Nothobranchius furzeri: one gene and its partners. The protein of the gene in region 1 interacts with the protein of each later gene in a biochemical or structural test. Links are inferred from orthologs where the notes say so. Each region holds a gene or a part of one and is shown in the gene's direction. Other genes may lie near its edges.

The links.
Region 2: the proteins of tjp2a (region 1) and ctnna1 form a complex in vitro, tested with the Homo sapiens proteins (2 studies listed by BioGRID and IntAct, with this or other methods). The link is inferred for Nothobranchius furzeri from reciprocal best matches to the Homo sapiens genes TJP2 and CTNNA1.
Region 3: the proteins of tjp2a (region 1) and cgnb form a complex in vitro, tested with the Homo sapiens proteins (2 studies listed by BioGRID and IntAct, with this or other methods). The link is inferred for Nothobranchius furzeri from reciprocal best matches to the Homo sapiens genes TJP2 and CGN.

What each region holds. Positions count from the first base shown.
Region 1 is NC_091746.1:73,933,029-73,936,683, reverse strand, and holds part of tjp2a (tight junction protein ZO-2a), read left to right. Parts: intron 1-2,855; coding exon 2,856-2,985; intron 2,986-3,655. UniProt on the Homo sapiens protein: Plays a role in tight junctions and adherens junctions. Acts as a positive regulator of RANKL-induced osteoclast differentiation, potentially via mediating downstream transcriptional activity.
Region 2 is NC_091748.1:78,693,651-78,697,854, reverse strand, and holds the start of ctnna1 (catenin alpha-1), read left to right. Parts: upstream 1-1,324; coding exon 1,325-4,048; 3' UTR 4,049-4,204. UniProt on the Homo sapiens protein: Associates with the cytoplasmic domain of a variety of cadherins. The association of catenins to cadherins produces a complex which is linked to the actin filament network, and which seems to be of primary importance for cadherins cell-adhesion properties.
Region 3 is NC_091759.1:4,162,527-4,164,873, forward strand, and holds part of cgnb (cingulin), read left to right. Parts: intron 1-65; coding exon 66-236; intron 237-1,209; coding exon 1,210-1,371; intron 1,372-1,455; coding exon 1,456-1,545; intron 1,546-1,642; coding exon 1,643-1,726; intron 1,727-1,804; coding exon 1,805-1,923; intron 1,924-2,347. UniProt on the Homo sapiens protein: Probably plays a role in the formation and regulation of the tight junction (TJ) paracellular permeability barrier.

The sequences.
Region 1 (3,655 bases):
TTACTTGTAAGATAAATGTGGCTTTAAAGACTAAGTCACCCCCTACCAGAGTATTACTCCACTCCCACTTCCTGTTTGAAAAATGCAACAAATGCTGTTGCCTAGCAGACCGAGAGGGCGGAGCTGCTAACAAATACACACACACAGGCTCACATTGACATTGTGACATCATATGGTACCAGCTAACGTTCTAGGGTACCTCTTAGCCAATAGCGATGGCAAATTTAAATTCAAGTTTAGTGCAGAGTTTTTACCTGACAATGGCACAACACTGCCAGTTTTAGGCAGAACATTTAAATTTTAACTAAAATGCACTAAAGTGCAAAACTATTGACTACACGTGTCTGCATCACGACTAGACACGCATTTATATAGTTTATCAGGAAAAAAAGTTGATTTGAGGGTGACTTGCTCTTTAAAGATCTTTCTGTTGCATGTGAAAACTTAAAGGAGCAATAAGTAAGAATTCAATAGTGAATTAATCACAAAACAGTCTGTCTACATCGTGTTGGAAGGAAGGTCACACTCACAGGTTTCATCCTCAGCTGGCTGCTGGGGCTAGAAGCTAATCATCACAGGAAGCATCGGGGCTCGCGTTATTCAGGGAGTTAAACATCAACGTTGCATTTTTTACCCAAGAAAACGTTTCTTCTTTAACGCAGAAACGACTCTAGCTGGGATTAAGTAATCATCTCCTGTCTTATTTTAAATTTCCGTAGCATTTTCTTCATCACAGTTCAGGCTGGTTACCAAAGACACCAGGAGGAGGGCGACATTAAAGCTGCCAGTTTGGCTGAGAATGTGTTTTACTCATGTCTGCACATGCTGCAAGTGATCGGGTCAGGGAGGCTGCAGATTATGATCTGTAGTGTCTTTGTGCGGGTCTGGGCTCTTTGCAGTCGAGCATGAGGGAGAAACATGTCTCAGATGTGAAATAAATGTGATTTTGAGTGTAAAAATCATGTCTCTGGTCTAGAAGGTTCAAGCCTTTTTAGAGCATCTAAAAATGGACCTTTCTGCCTGGTGAATCCCATGTGAGTGTGCAGACTTTCTGTTGGGTTTAACAACACGCCAGCAGAGATGTTCCCTTTAAACATTCATCACCTCCTCTTAAAAGTTTAAAATGTGAAGATCACAGCACACTTGGTGGGATTAACTTTTGAGGGAGTAATGTGGAGAAATTGGTGCTGGAAGCGATAATCTGTTGGTTATAATGTTTAGTTGCGTTTTGAGAAAAGGATGGACCTACATGACTCGCAATACGACCAGGATGTGAGTTATGGGTGAAAGAAGGATTTGTGTTTCCTCTTCAGTCAAAAACATGTGTGTTGTGTACCTTATCAAAATAAAAGCATCAAATACAATAGATTGCTTATTAATGTGACCGTGTGAGCGTCCTGTCACAGTATCCCGACTGATCCTGCGCCCTGGCTACTTGCCAAGGGGATGTCCCTTTGGCTGACTGGTTAGCATGCATGACTCTCACCCGGGAGTCTGGGGATCGAATCCCGCCTGGGCCCTCGTTTCTCCACCTTGCCACATTAAGATTCGTGTTCACTTTGAGTTTTTCATCCTTACAATTCAAATCAATTCAAGTTTATTTATAAAGCGCCAAATCACAACAAGAGTCGTCTCAAGGACCTTCACACAGTAAACATTCCAACACAGGTCAGGTCATTAAGCCAATCAGTAAAAAGTTTCCTATGTAAGGAACCCAGCAGGTTGCATCAAGTCACTGACTAGTGTCAGTGACTATACAGCAATCCTCATACTAAGCAAGCATGCAGCGACAGTGGAGAGGAAAACTCCCTTTTAACAGGAAGAAACCTCCAGAGGATCCTGGCTCAGTATAAGCAGCCATCCTCCACCACTCACTGGGAAGAATACACACACACACATGCAGACATACACACGCATACACACGCGCATGCACGCACACACACACACACACGCACGCACGCACGCACGCATCTGTCTTTCTATCGTAATCCCCCCATTGACTTTGATTCTTTTTTTTGTGATTTCACCATGCCTAACCCATACCATAACCAATGCTGATCTGTTCCTAACCCATTCACACCAGACCTCTAACTGATATAGTAAGCTTCTAAAAAAAATGAGGACCCAAAAAATGTCCTCACATTGTAGGGAGAGTGTTCAAAATGGTTCTCAGAATGTAGTATGTACAAGAACGCACACACACACACACACAAACACACACACCACACACACACACACACACACACACACAAAGTGTGTGTATTTCTTAGTAAATATTCTATTTGGTGAGAGAAACACATGAACAAATGAACATCAAGTGGATTAAATTAAGTCTGGGCGATGTGGCCTAAAATAAATATCACGACATATCGAGTTAAACTCTAACGTAAATAAACAATAACTACATGCACAAAAGCACTAGATGGGGCCGTCACGGGTATTACGTAGAGTTACGTTGTCATGTGACTGGAGATGGTCCAGCTAGTTAAAGGGACATGAACTTCACCAACTTACACGCATCTATTCTTTTATTTATTTATTTTTATTTATTTTTTTTACTATCGAATTAATTGACATGGGGAAAAATGGTTTTGGTTAGAAATGACCGATGGATACATTTTTGAGTTATCGCCTAGTCCTAGATTACATTGTTTATGTGATTGTTAGCAACATTTGGTCAGTTTTGCAGCCTTGCAGTACACGATATCATAAACTACACCGGTCAGCCTAGAGAAGCTGAAACTCCCACTGAAGAACAGGGTTTTCTGCTCGGTTTCACCTTTTGGGCTGATGACCTGTCACTTTTTTGTCCCAGATCTGTGTAAAAAATTAATGTGTTTTCCTTCCATCCACAGGGACCAGGGTTGCTCCGACCCGACCAGTACTGACCTACTGAAGTCTGGCCGTAAGTTCTGCTGGTCCAGAGAGACCCATTACTTGTATCTTCACCGCCTCTCTTCAAGAAGTTTCTCAGCCATCACTATGGTAGGACACTTCTCTGATGTTTATTATTGATGAGAGGGAAGGAATGGAGAATCATTTGGTTCTGTGAGAACATGGGTCAGGGTTTCAGTTCAGTTGTCTCCGGGTACGATCCATCCAACGGACTTCACTTAAAGATGTTGGTAAAGGAACAGAAGTCAGAACAATCTCAGTTGGGAGACTCGGAGAGGATTTCTCATGTGGGAGTTGAGCTGCTCCTACAAGAAATCTACTATGGCAGTTTCAATGATCTATAATAAAGGGATGTTCTTACACTTAAGTGTGTTTCTGTTTAAAATTTGTAAATTCTTATTTTACCCATTGTAGAAGGCTTTCTGAAGGGCCTCTGCTCAGAGAAATGGTTCACATCCATCAGGACTAACGAGCTAACGGCTAGTTTGAGGGAAGACCATACCAGAGTGTATTAAATCAGATGGAGATAACTTTAAGACGCTTACATTCCTCCAAACTGATAAAATACGCATTTTAATTAGATTCCTAAGAAGTTCATTTTTATTTTCATGTTGCTTGTATTTGTCCTCTAATTGATTTTTTTCTGCTTTTTTTTTGTCTTAAACATTTTTTGGGTAATATAAAATTCCTCAAAAGTAAATAGTTTTTCTTGAAACTAAATTATATGATTTAAATTCTGCTTTTATGAAACATCTCCAGT
Region 2 (4,204 bases), on another chromosome or scaffold:
GAGGAGATGGTTTATGGATTCACCAGTAAAACAATTGTGACTCTTAATTAAAAGGGCAGCATGTTCTTTTCATGGATTCCTACATAAATAAGTTAACAGAAGTCGTGGGTTGGACCGCTGACTGCCTCCATACCAGCCTCTCACCTACAGCATCGCTCGCTCATCCTCCAAGGCCACAATGTCACCAGCGCTGAGGGAAATGTGCAGGATGGTGCATGCTGACATGTATTAACGGGGAGAAAATAGTTTTTATTGTTAAATTTAAAACATAACCTGCTGTAGTGTCACTTTACAGCGGAACTACTGCGTATTTAATGATGTCTCAGTGACCGGTCACTATGTGGTCAAAGTGGACCCTTTCTGAATGTTACACGGCAGAACAACAGTTATTTTCTGTTAAAAGAAAGCAGGGTATAATAAAAACTACAGATGGTTCACAGATTTAGGAAAGATCTAATGCCACTGTCAACTTAAGTCTGTTTTTAAAGCTTTTACACCCACTTTAAAACAGATTAAGGAGTTGTAAAAACCACATGAGAGCAGGTCCTGCTGTAGTTAAAATGTATATAGTTCATAATTATCCACATTTTAATACTCTAGTGGCCTTTACCCACCAACCATCCTGAAACTAACGTCAACATGGAAGTCCTGAAGGCTTGTAGACTAAACTAGATGACTTCACCCAGGTTGTTCACCAGCCTGAGGAACAAACCTGGTGAAGGTAAAGCTGCTGGGAGGGGGGGCTGCTCTATTATCGCTAGCTTTAGCTGTTAGCTGCCGCCACGGTTGCTAGGTAACGGGACCTACAGGCTGCAGTGGAGGGGGAGGCCAGACCGTCCGACCGCCGGTCTTATCGGTCGAGCAAGGACACGTACTCTCGGGCATTCAGGCTCTGGAGTCGGACACACCCAGTTCCAACAGAAATGTTCCAAACAAGGTTCCCAACAGGCTTCCGGGCCTGCTGCAGCCTGTCGCCGCCCCGCTCCGCTGCCAGGAAGTTGGGAAACTCGGTCACCGCCCTGCCCCCACCCCTCCTCCACTCCACTTTAGCCATTGTTGGGCGAGAGTCTGCCTCACCGAAACGGTTCACACCGAAACTATTCCCTCGGTACCGCTCAGAAGACTTTACACAGGCGCTTATTGTTTTGAAGCGTGGAGGTTGTTTTTTCCCCCCGAAAAGAAGCAAAGCCAGCCAAAAGTCGAGAGCTACGTCACACGGAGCCCGAGAAGAGAGGAAAACTTTTCAGGAGAGGATTCCGGACGTTCTCCATTTTGAACTTTTGCACTCCGGTTCGTCTTCAGCGGATTGTGTAAAAACCACACGATGACGAGCGTCAACACTCCCAACATCAACTTTAAATGGGACCCCAAGAGTCTGGAGATCCGGACTCTGGCAGTGGAGAAGCTCCTTCAGCCGCTTGTCGCCCAGGTCACCACTCTGGTCAACTCCAGCAACAAAGGTCCATCTAACAAGAAGAAGGGACGCTCCAAGAAGGCTCATGTTTTGGCTGCTTCAGTGGAGAAGGCCACCCAGAACTTCCTAGAAAAAGGAGAAAAGATTGCAGAAGAAAGTCAGTTCCTCAAGGAAGAGCTGACCGAGGCTGTGGAGGATGTCCGTAACCAAGGTAATTCCATGCGCCAGGCTTCTGGAGAGTTTGTTGAAGACCCCTGCTCCTCTGTGAAGAGGGGCACCATGGTCCGTGCCGCCAGGGCCCTCCTCTCAGCGGTTACACATCTGCTGGTCCTGGCAGACATGTCTGATGTCTACAAACTCCTGGTGCAGCTTAAGCTGGTTGAAGATGGCATGGCTAAAGTGTGCGGCGCTGGAACAGAGCAGGATTTGGGGATCCAGTATAAGGCTTTGATCCCAGAGGTGGACAAGCTGAACCACATGGCTGCTAAGAGGCAGCAGGAGCTAAAGGACGTCCAGCACAAGGACCAAATGGCTGCTGCACGTGGATTGCTCCAAAGGAACGTCCCCTTGCTCTACAAAGCGACCTGTGCCTGCCTGCAGCATCCTGATGTGGCGGCCTACAAGGCTAACCGTGACCTGATCTACAAGCAGCTCCAGCATGCGGTCTCAGGAATCTCCAACGCTGCCCAGGCCACGAGCACCGAAGACTCGGCGCTGAGCCAGCCGGGAGGGGCCGGAGAGCTGGCTTATGCCCTCAACAATTTTGATAAACAAATCATTGTGGACCCCTTGGCATTCAGCGAGGAGCGCTTTCGTCCTTCTCTCGAGGAGCGCCTGGAGAGCATCATCAGCGGAGCTGCACTCATGGCTGACTCTTCCTGCACACGCGATGACCGCAGGGAGCGCATTGTTGCTGAATGCAACTCAGTGCGCCAGGCTCTGCAGGACCTCCTGTCAGAGTACATGGGGAATGCGGGGAGGAAGGAGAGGAGCGACGCTCTGAACACAGCCATCGACAGGATGACGAAGAAGACCAGAGACCTCCGCAGGCAGCTCCGTAAAGCTGTCATGGACCACGTCTCGGACTCGTTCCTGGAGACAAACGTCCCCCTCCTGGTCCTGATCGAAGCCGCGAAGAATGGCAACGAAAAGGAAGTAAAGGAATACGCTCAAGTCTTTCGCGAACACGCCAACAAGCTGATCGAGGTAGCCAACCTGGCGTGCTCCATTTCCAATAATGAAGAGGGGGTTAAACTGGTGCGCATGGCAGCATCCCAGCTGGAAACCCTGTGCCCCCAGGTGATCAACGCAGCGCTGGCCCTTGCTGCCAAGCCCCACAGTAAGGTGGCCCAGGACAACATGGACGCATTCAAAGATCAGTGGGAGAAGCAGGTCCGTGTCCTCACTGATGCTGTTGATGACATAACATCAATCGATGACTTCCTTTGTGTGTCTGAGAACCACATCCTAGAGGACGTGAATAAGTGTGTCATCGCGCTTCAAGAGAAGGATGTTGACGGTCTGGATCGCACCGCCGGCGCTATTCGAGGCCGGGCCGCCAGAGTCGTTCATGTTGTCACTTCTGAGATGGACAACTATGAACCGGGGGTCTACACGGAGAAGGTTCTGGAGGCCACCAAGCTCCTGACCAACACGGTCATGCCACGGTTCACCGAACAAATCGAGTCTGCGGTTGAGGCCCTAAGCACAAACCCCTCTCAGCCTGTGGACGAGAACGAGTTCATCGATGCGTCTCGTCTGGTGTACGACGGCATTCGGGACATACGCAAGGCTATCCTCATGATCAGAACTCCAGAAGAACTGGACGATTCAGACTTTGAGACCGAAGACTTTGACACACGCAGCAAAACCAGCGTGCAGACCGAGGACGACCAGCGCATTGAGGGCCAAAGCGCACGCGCCATCATGGCTCAGCTGCCGCAGGAGCAGAAAGCAAAGATCGCTGAACAGGTGGCTAGCTTCCAGGAGGAGAAGAGCAAGCTGGACGCAGAGGTGTCCAAGTGGGATGACAGCGGCAATGACATCATCGTGTTAGCCAAGCAGATGTGCATGATCATGATGGAGATGACGGACTTCACCAGGGGAAAGGGGCCACTGAAGAACACGTCTGATGTCATCAGTGCTGCCAAAAAAATAGCCGAGACCGGATCAAGAATGGACAAACTGGGCCGCACCATTGCCGACAATTGTCCCGACTCATCCTGCAAGCAGGACCTGCTGGCCTACCTGCAGCGTATCTCCTTGTATTGCCATCAGCTCAACATCTGCAGCAAAGTCAAAGCGGAGGTCCAGAACCTGGGAGGAGAACTGGTCGTCTCTGGGCTGGACAGCGCCATGTCTCTGATTCAGGCTGCAAAGAACCTGATGAACGCCGTGGTGTCCACAGTGAAGGCATCTTACGTGGCTTCCACCAAATACCAGAAGACCAAGGCCATGGAGTCCCTCAACATGCCGGCCATCTCCTGGAAGATGAAAGCTCCCGAGAAGAAGCCTCTGGTTAAGAGAGAGAAGCAGGACGACGGGCAGACCAACAAGGTCAAGAGGTCTTCTCAGAAGAAGCACGTGAACCCTGTGCAGGCTCTGAGCGAGTTCAAAGCCATGGAGAGCATCTAGCTGGAGGAGAACGCACGTTCTTAATCCAGGAGTTTAGGATTGAGGGAGCTTTATTGGTTGGACCAGTTCTTCAGATTAGCTTTAATCTTAGCATCGACCTCGGTAGAAACGGCAGCCAGAGGGGCGAGCAGCCGAACCTTTCCGTAACGTAGACGA
Region 3 (2,347 bases), on another chromosome or scaffold:
CCCCACCACTCAAGCAAATGCTGCGTATACACATGTAGAAGCGCTTTCACTCCTCTCTTCTTCAGATGGAGGTGATGATGGGAGACTCGCGTCAGTCGGTGGCCACCCTGCAGACCCAGCTGGAGGACTTCAGGGAGCGATCGAGGAAGGACCTGCTGGAGGCGCAGAGGAACAACAAGGACAGGCTGGCTGAGCTGCAGAGGGCTCAGAATAACCTGAAGGCCCAGCAGGAGGAGGTGGGATTAAAATATCGCAAAGTTTCATCCAGCTCTGACCTTCAGCTCTTGCTGGGTAGGTTCGCGGCTGAGTGTGAAGCGGCTGGGATGAGAATCAGCACCTCCAAATCTGAGACCATGGTCCTCGACCGGAAAAGGGTGGCTTGCCAACTCCGGGTCGGGGGAGAGGTCCTACCTCAAGTGGAGGAGTTTAAGTATCTCGGGGTCTTGTTCACGAGTGAGGGTAGGAGGGATCGGGAGATCGACAGGCGGATTGGTTCGGCGTCTGCAGTGATGCGGACGCTGAGCCGATCTGTCGTGGTGAAGAGGGAGCTGAGCCAGAAAGCCAGGCTCTCGATTTACCGGTCGATCTACGTCCCAATCCTCACCTATGGTCATGAGCTTTGGGTAATGACCGAAAGAACGAGATCGCGGATACAAGCGGCCGAAATGAGTTTCCTCTGTAGGGTGGCTGGGCTCAGCCTTAGAGATAGGGTGAGGAGCTCAGACATTCGGGAGGGACTCGGAGTAGAACCGCTGCTCCTCCGGATCGAAAGGAGTCAGTTGAGGTGGTTTGGGCATCTGGTCAGGTTGCCTCCTGGACGCCTCCCTGGGGAGGTGTTTCAGGCATGTCCTGCCAGCAGGAGGCCCCCGGGTCGACCCAGGACACGTTGGAGAGGTTACATCTCCAATCTGGTCCGGGAACGCCTTGGGGTCCTGCCAGAGTAGCAGGTGGAGGTGGCTGGGGTGAGGATGGCCTGGAGCTCCCTAGTTGGGATGCTGCCCCCGCGACCCAGACCCGGATAAGCGGAGGAAGACGACGACAAAGTGCATGTTTAGAGGAGCTTTACTAGTCTTAGAAGAAAATATAAATAAAAAATAAACGCAGCTTGCCACCACGTTGCATCATCTTTCTCATCAACCTCCAAGCATTTCAGATCTGACAAGTTTGTTTGGAAAGATGAGATATCTTCATTTTTATACTAATTTTTAGGTTTCCCGTCTGAAGAAGGAGCTGCTGACGTGCAGTGAGGAGAGAGACAGCGCTCAGCTGGAAAGAGACCTCCTCAACAACCGTCTGAAGCACCTAGAGGGCGAGCTGGAGTCAGAAAAGAGCTCACACACCGACCGCAGCCGCGAGATCAGATCCCTGGAGGTGAGGCTTCTCGGGTCAAAGGTCACGACTAGGGAGATGGCTGGAACAGTTTCTAGTTGATAAAAATTCTGTTTGTGTTTGCAGGATAAAGTTAAAACTCTGGAGTTGGAGGTGGACGAGGAGAGGAGCAGCGTGGAGCTACTGAATGATCGCATAAGCCGAACCAGAGATCAGGTGCAGCATCAGGATATTTGAATACGAATGCAAATCATATGGAGGCACGCAGATCTGAAAGACTTACTGAAAACGTTCCTTTTTCTTTCTTTTGCAGGTGGATCAGCTGCGATCTGAGCTGATGCAGGAGCGCTCGGTCAGACACGACCTGGAGATGGACAAGAGCGCTCTGGAGCGACAGGTACGTCGTCCCAGCAACAGGGAAACGAGATTCCGGTAAGGTCGTTTAATAATGTCCGCGCCGCGCTTCGTCTCACAGGTGAAAGAGTTAAAGTCCCGCGTCGCCGACATGGAGGGACAGACTCGACCGTCGGCTGCAATCACGCTGCTGGAAAACAAGATTCAGGAGCTGGAGGAGCGGCTGCGCAGCGAGGAGCGGTAACGGGAGTTTCTCTAAATCGCACAAAACAAATGTGAACTCAAATGTTTAGAAAAATTTACCAAAACAAGAATTAGTTGGTGAAATTAGTTTGATAAAGGCATGAAAACATGAAAAATCACATCTTCAAATTTTTATCTTAATTAACTAATTCTGCTACAGTTGGCTCTGGAGTGGCGAAATGAAGGTTGCCAACAAATATTCAAGAATAATTATTGATGACATAACTTAAGGTTTGGCAACCCACAGAGGGGTCCCAAGTCCTACTTTTGGGAAACGGTAACTTAACAAGCACCAGGAAGTAAAAGAGAAAAGGAAAAAAAAAAAGAGTAACAAAAAAGGAAACAAAAAGAATTTTTTTAAAAAAGAGAGAAAAGGAAAAAAGAAGTGAGAATAAAAAAAGAAAAGGGGGGAAAAACAAGT